Linked DNA regions of Oryctolagus cuniculus. The protein of the gene in region 2 purifies or fractionates together with the protein of the main gene of each other region. This does not show direct contact. Links are inferred from orthologs where the notes say so. Each region holds a gene or a part of one and is shown on either strand. Other genes may lie near its edges.

The links. Proteins that work in one complex are often made in the same cells at the same time.
Region 1: the proteins of BCL7C (region 2) and ARID2 purify together in Homo sapiens (affinity purification with mass spectrometry; 3 studies listed by BioGRID and IntAct, counting the BioPlex papers as one, with this or other methods). This does not show direct contact. The link is inferred for Oryctolagus cuniculus from reciprocal best matches to the Homo sapiens genes BCL7C and ARID2.

Annotation. Positions count from the first base shown.
Region 1 is NC_091440.1:136,610,139-136,613,782, forward strand, and holds part of ARID2 (AT-rich interactive domain-containing protein 2), read left to right. Parts: intron 1-663; coding exon 664-730; intron 731-827; coding exon 828-1,078; intron 1,079-1,404; coding exon 1,405-1,501; intron 1,502-1,581; coding exon 1,582-1,791; intron 1,792-2,553; coding exon 2,554-2,721; intron 2,722-3,644. UniProt on the Homo sapiens protein: Involved in transcriptional activation and repression of select genes by chromatin remodeling (alteration of DNA-nucleosome topology). Required for the stability of the SWI/SNF chromatin remodeling complex SWI/SNF-B (PBAF).
Region 2 is NC_091450.1:6,251,094-6,254,764, forward strand, and holds the start of BCL7C (B-cell CLL/lymphoma 7 protein family member C), read left to right. Parts: upstream 1-740; 5' UTR 741-952; coding exon 953-1,044; intron 1,045-1,600; coding exon 1,601-1,679; intron 1,680-1,990; coding exon 1,991-2,099; intron 2,100-2,207; coding exon 2,208-2,369; exon of another isoform or gene 2,370-2,595; intron 2,596-2,685; exon of another isoform or gene 2,686-3,547; coding exon 3,548-3,633; exon of another isoform or gene 3,634-3,671. UniProt on the Homo sapiens protein: May play an anti-apoptotic role.

The DNA.
Region 1 (3,644 bases), on a different chromosome or scaffold from region 2:
TTATCCTAAAAAAGTATATTTAACAGTAGGGTGGATTTTGACTCAGTTCTTCCATTATACCAAAAAATAGTTTGAAGATAGGAAATACTGGAAAGCAGATTAACTGTCTGGGTTTCTCATTTGAGAACCTACAGCCTCACCTCTGGTCATGTATCAGGGCTGTCTGTCACAGGGTCCTGAGTTACGTTCTATTTACAAGTGATGCCTCCTATAATCTGCTTTATTGTAAAGGTGGTCTGAAACACCTGTAATTCCTGTTGTCACAGTGTCCAGGTGCAGCTGGTACTGCTGTTGCTTGTTGCCTAACACCACTTAAGGCTAAAAATCCATGCTCAGTGTCACATAAAGGTTAATGAACATAAAGATTTCTTTTTTCCCACATCCAAATTTACAGATGTCTGGATTTCTTTCATAGACTTGAGAGAGTTCTGTGGCTCCCAGGTTAAAGACCCATTCCCTAAAATGATGCTTTATTATTTAGGTGTCTTTACCTGTTAAAAAAAAGAAACATTTATGTCAAACAATTAAATTCATGAATGTAACAACATCCATCTGAACCAAAAAAAGTAAAAATGTACAGTTTTATGTATGTGTGTTCTTAAAGTAATAGGACCATTGTTTTAACAGGTCATTGAGATCCAATATAATAATTTCTCGTTACAGTTTTGGAAAGACATTGTTGATGATAATGAAGTACGTGACCTCATTTCTGACAGAAACAAGTCTCACGGTAAGTCAGTGGAAGCAACGTTATGAAATAATTTGTTAATACTAGTAATAATAATAAATAAAGTATCAGTTTAAGTGAGATTGTGTTTCTTGATTAGACGGTACAGCAGGAGACTGGATTTGGGAGTCTTTATTTCACCCACCTCGAAAGCTGGGCATTAATGATATCGAAGGGCAGCGGGTTCTCCAGGTGGCAGTGATTTTGCGGAATCTTTCCTTTGAGGAGGGCAACGTGAAGCTCCTGGCAGCTAACCGCACCTGTCTCCGCTTCCTGTTACTCTCCGCGCACAGTCATTTCATTTCTCTAAGGCAGTTGGGCCTGGACACTCTAGGAAATATTGCAGCTGAGGTAAGCCTAATAATATGAACATGCACCTTGAAAATCATACCAGAGTTGGCAATGTTATTTACTTTAAAAGTTTCGGAAGTGAGATTTTGTAGTTGCTATATTTATAACATACTAAATGCTAACGTGTATCTGTTGTGTGGAAGAATCACACACTTTTGTGGAAGAAATATTTACAATGAAGCTTCAATTTTAGTGATGGCTGTTCTCACAATAGTTGCGTATTTTAAAGTTATGCCACCTTGTCCTGGTCATTTTTATTAAATTTCAAATATAGAACTCTGAAGGAAGCACACTTCAACAGTACTATTCTTTCTTTTTTTTTTCAGCTTTTATTGGACCCTGTTGATTTCAAAACGACTCATCTAATGTTTCATACTGTTACAAAATGCCTCATGTCAAGGGATAGGTTTTTAAAGATGAGGGGTGAGTGCTCATGTAAGTTTTCTGTTGTCTGAAGCAGATGAACTTTATCATTTGTTCACAACCGTGTGTGCATTTTGCAGGCATGGAAATTTTGGGAAATCTTTGCAAAGCAGAAGATAATGGTGTTTTAATCTGTGAATATGTCGATCAAGATTCGTATCGAGAGATCATTTGTCATCTCACTCTACCAGATGTGCTGCTTGTAATCTCAACACTTGAGGTGCTATACATGCTCACCGAAATGGGAGATGTTGCTTGCACAAAAATTGCAAAAGTAGAAAAGAGTATAGGTAAGACTGAACCAAAAATAATTTATCTGTGCTGCCGAGGAAAAAATTGCAAACGTGGGACTGTACAGAAACCTCAGTTGATATTTGGGTTTCTTGTTACTTTGAGGGAGTCTTTACACCCTCAGACACACTTAACTGTGCACACCTTTTGCCAGTTTTAGATGAGCAGAGACGCGTGTCCTGAGGGAGACCAGGTTCTGCCTTAGGAATCCCGTGTATCACACTGGATGTTCCCAGACTGCTGCGTCTCAGTGCTGTAGGGACAGCTCTCTGGTGCAGCCCGCAGTTACCACTGCTGAGCAGCTGAAGCTGAGTGAAGCTTCTGGTTCGTTTCTGTCCATAACATGGGTGACCTGTCTCAGAGTTACCAGTTTTAAATATACATCCTAAAGCACACCAGCTCAATGGTTTTTTTCCTCTGTGTCTAAAAATGATGTCTCTTGAGTAAAAATAACTAACATCAGAATTAATAAAGATTTAACCTGAAAACCACTAATGTTGAGAAGTTAAGATGTTATTTTTCATATCAGCTGTTTCTAAATCTGGCTACCGGTCAGAATCACTTGGAAGCCTTTTAAAAAAGATGCCTGCCTCCCCCCCCAGAGCTTCTGCGTCAGTCTGCAGGGATTCAGTCCACAGGTAGTTCAGATGTTCATGGACTGGCATTAGAGAAGGGGTATTCTGTACAACATTGTTCTCCAGCAGTGGCCTTGTTTCATAGTATTATTGAGCAATAACTATTGATTTTTAAATTTATTTCAGACATGTTAGTGTGTCTGGTTTCTATGGATATTCAGATGTTTGGCCCTGATGCTTTAGCTGCAGTAAAACTCGTGGAACATCCAAGTTCCAGTCATCAAGTGTTGTCTGAAATCAGGCCACAAGCTGTGGAGCACATCCAAGCCCAGGCGCCTGTAGCTTCTGCCTCAGGTTAGTGTTTGTCGTACTCTTTATCAGTGTGATTATGGGTATGTAAAATTAATAACGAGGGTTAACTTGAATATGCATTTCAGAAAACTGGTAGTTTAAGGGGAGTTTGGGGTGTGTACTTCACATTCCAAGAGTAGTAGGCCAAGGCGAGCACAGAGGCAGAACAGTGTTCCAGAGAAAGCAGTTCCGAGAACGGAAGAGGCTAGGTAGTCACAGTCTTAAGAGCAAGAAAAAGTGACCCACAGGAAACTGACATACAAATGATGGCTTATATTTCTTTATAATTCTCAGGGTGACCATGAGGATACAGGAAGATGATATCCTGACACCCACAAATCTTGGACCCAACACCAGAGAATCAGCTTAGGAGCAGATGCATATGCATGTTTGCCTGTGCACACATATACACACACACCCTAGTGTTCCTAGTGTTCCCCTGGCTCCATGCTGTTTAAAATACATTTCATTGTAATGTAGACCTAGCAATAACCAGTCTTCACCTAAGTCCTCTGACTTCTTCCTCATGGCTCATTATGTGTTAGCATTTCTATATTTAGCACTTGCAGCCTTTTTAGCACTTGTCTGCCTTCCTTTGTCCCCACAAAGAGCCCAACTTCACTTCCTGGCCTTTCCACTTCCTACCTTCCCACCGCCCTTTGACCCCATAACTCTTCTCCAGTATTCTTGAATGGAAGGTGCTTGTTAGCTCAGGTCATGTCACTTCTCCCTCTGCAGTCAGTGCAGAGGCACTCTAGAGTGAGTTTCAATGTCTTTCTCTTCTTACAAACTTGGTAGCATCTCAGTTCCTTCTTCACCTCTTGCTTGTCTCACCTGTGGTGCTGAGTTCTTCACCTGCTCTGAGTATCATTCTGTCCCATCTCCTAGATGCCACATCGTGGCACCTCTCTTTCTTCCCTTCTCTT
Region 2 (3,671 bases):
CGTCGCTGGGTGTAGTGGGACAGCGGGCATTCTTGCCCGCTGGGTCTCTGTCTTGGGTATCAATAGCTGCAACCCACTTCCCAGTCTCCTCTTGGTAAGCCGTTTACGGTTCGGGGCTGTTAAGAACGCGGCTGTGAACATCCCAGCTCACGGCTCTTGGTGCTCCTGTCTAAGCATTTCTGCTGGGTGCTGACGTGCTGGATTCCTGGGCTGGTCTTTGTTCAGCTTCATGGGAAAGTCTCTACCAATTCCCACTCCCCCAGAAACAGAAGGGAGGCCGCGCGGCTCCGCTGGCCCGCCCACACTCGGTATGGCCTGTCGTTCTCGCTATAGCCATCCTGGGGGGTGGAGACTCACTCATGTGTGCAGCTGTGGCGCGTAATTGGCACTGGGCTGCTAGATCGTTGAATGAATGAATGGGTGAACGAATTAAGTTGGGCAGCGTAGAATCAGCCAGCCCGGCGAGGGAGGAGGGGGTGTCCGGGGACACACACACGGTGTCTCAGGTTCGCACACCTGCACCCAGACCCTCTCGTGCACCCGAGCGCCCACGTGGTCTGGACGCGCCGCCTCGGCGGAGCCGCGCGCGTCCAAGTCGCCGAGCCAGCGGGCCCCCAACTCTCGCTCGCTCTCGGCGGCGGACAGGGGGCGCTGCGCGTCCGGGCGCCCCCGAAGGGGCGGGCCCGGGGCGGGGCGGGGCTGGCCCGGCTTCCAGGCCTGGGCTCCGGCACCCGCGCCGCCCGGCCGCTCCGGGGACGGGCCGGGGCGGGGCGCGGCGGCAGGAAGCGGGGCGGGGACTCGCGGAGGCGTTGGGGAGCGAGGGAGGGCGCGGCCAACTCCCGGAGGGGACGGCGGGCGGCGAGAGCGGCGCCCCGGCCTGGCGCCGAGCCTGAGCCCGCCGGACGGGAGGCAGCCCCGCCGCGGGCTCGGCCCCGGCCCCAGCGCCGCCAGCATGGCCGGCCGGACCGTACGGGCTGAGACCCGGAGCCGGGCCAAGGATGACATCAAGAAGGTGATGGCGACCATCGAGAAAGTCCGGCGATGGTGAGCGCTGCCCCGCGGCCGGGGCCGGGACCCTGGCGGGGACCACCGCCCCCTCGCGCGCCTCCCCTCCCCTCGCCAGCTGCGCCCCCCAGGTGTTAGGTGCGCCCCCGGCCACCAGCTGTGCGCGGGATCCCCAGGGCTCCGTCTCCCTTCCCCGGGCTACCCCCGGAGGTCTACAAAGCGTGGTCCCCAGCCGTGCCTTCGCCGGGCGGGAGCCCTCGTCCGTGCCCCGCCCCCTGAAGCTCTGACACTCCTGCAAGTATGGCCCGGGCTCCGAGCTGCGTCCCCAGGGATGGCCCCCTCCCTCCGGAGGGGTTCTGCCCTAGCCATGGCCCCGAGGCGTGCCCGGGGCGCCCCCTCCCCATCTTTGCCCTGGGCTCGCTCTCTCCAACAGTGCCTCATTCGCAAAACCGCCCCAACCCTCGTGCACCTCCCCCACCTTGCAGATGTGGTACCTGGGGCAGAGGCGGAGGCGGCGGGTCAGGCGGGTGCGCGCGGGGGGGGGGGGCGCCTCTCCCCTCAGGCCTCTCTGACCCAGCACCCCACCCTCCCACAGGGAGAAGCGTTGGGTGACTGTGGGCGACACTTCCCTTCGCATCTTCAAGTGGGTGCCGGTGGTGGACCCCCAGGAGGAGGTGAGCAAGCCCACCCCCCACCCCCCAAGACCCTGCATCTGTGCAGTCTCAGCCCAGCTCCTCCCCACCCTGGCCTCCACCTCCAGTGCCTACCGCAGCCCAGATGTTCAGGATTACTCGGCTGCCCCTCCCCCTCCCCCTTTCCTGCTCCAGACCCCCCCCCTGCAAGGCTAACCCAGCACGCACAGCCTCTGTCACCTCTGGCTGGGCCTTGGGTTTCTCTGTGCCTCAGTTTCCCCGTTTGTCCCCGTGGGGCTCTGCCAGGGCTGCCGGGAAACGCTGGCTCTGATCCTCATCCCTGTCACCCCCAGGAGCGGCGGCGGGCAGGTGGCGGGGCAGAGCGATCCCGTGGCCGAGAGCGGCGAGGCAGGGGTGCCAGTCCCCGAGGGGGCGGCCCGCTCATCCTGCTAGATCTCAATGGTATGTGTGGGGGCCCAGGCATTGCCGGGGGCGGGGAGGGGTGGCTGTGGGACCTGGAGGAGGGGCCTGGGGGCCTCAGGCCGACCCTCTGGGCTCTTGTTTCTGCAGATGAGAACAGCAACCAGAGCTTCCACTCGGAAGGCTCCCTGCACAAGGGTACCGAGCCCAGCCCCGGGGGCACCCCACAGCCCAGCCGCCCTGTGTCACCCGCCGGAGCCCCGGAAGGGGTCCCTGAGGAGGCTCAGCCCCCACGGCTGGGCCAAGAGAGAGGTAGGATCAGGTGCCACCCAGAGCCCCCTTCTCTGCGCCCAGCAGCTCACCCCGCTACCTGCCCCTCTCCCATGAGCCCCGTGGAAACAGTGCCCGCCCCTGCCGTCTCCTCTGGCATTTCCCTATCAATTTCAGTTGCTGCTCACATACTGTCTTCCTGCCCCGTCTCGTGTCGGCTTCCTGGAGGTCGGGCCCTCCCCGATCTTGTTCACGGCATCCTCCAAGTCTAGTGGGACGCATAATAGGTGCTCAATCAATGTTTGTCGAGTGACTAAAAGACGAAGCTACTCACGGGCGCTATTGATTGAGCTCTTACTGCGTGCCAGGTGCCTTCCAAACACTCTGTTCTGTTTTATCTCATTGACTCGCCGCCTCGGAGGGGTTAGCCTGCCCTGCTTCCTGTTTGTAGCTGAGGAGGCAGATCAGCAAGGTTAAGTCGGTCGCCCGAGCTCACACAGCGTCTTCAGGTTGAGGCTCCTCAGCTCCTCTTTCTTCCAGTTCACCCCCGCCCAGCGTGGCCTCCCCAGGCCACAGCCTGGCTCCAGCCGCCCCGCAGCTGTAGCACAGCTCTGCCTGAAGCGGGGGGCCGGGTGGGGCTCATTTTCCTGCTGTGGCTCCTTCTGCCCCCTGAGCTGGACGCTGAGGGCCCCCTGTGCGCCGTGCCCTGCCCGCCACCAAAGCCACGGCTTGGGCCTAGGGGCTGAGCCTGGACACCTGTGCTAATAGAGAAGCAGTAACTGGCATTTCTGGCGCACGTGCTGGGTGCCAAACACTTTGAGCTGTACTACCTCGCCTCCTCCTCCCGAGAGTCATGCACCAACTGCGACCCCTGGCCCCATGTTATGGATGGCTAAGGAGAGGCCCCAAGAGACGGAAGGAGCCGGCCCAAGGCCAGGATCTGAAGGCGGCCGCTGAACTCCAGGACCTGTGCTCACTACCCTGCGTTCCCTTTGTCTGAAGTGTGTTTTTCTTGGTAAAGCTACACCGCTTTGCAGATCCTGCATAAGTGTTCCTGCTTCAGTCTGGGGCTGGGACTTCAGCCAGGTCCTGGGCCCCTTTCTCTCTGTCCAGCTGCCTGTGTGTGTGTGTGCGCGCGCGCACGTGCGTGCATTTCTCCCAGTCTGACCTCTGGGCACAGAGTGGCTGCTCAGGGAATGACTGTTCACTTGACATTCCAGATCCCGGGGGCATAACTGCAGGCAGCACGGACGAACCCCCCATGCTGACCAAGGAGGAGCCGGTTCCAGAGCTGCTGGAGGCTGAGGTGAGAGAGGCCGCAAGGCTGCACTCCCGGGTCTCGAG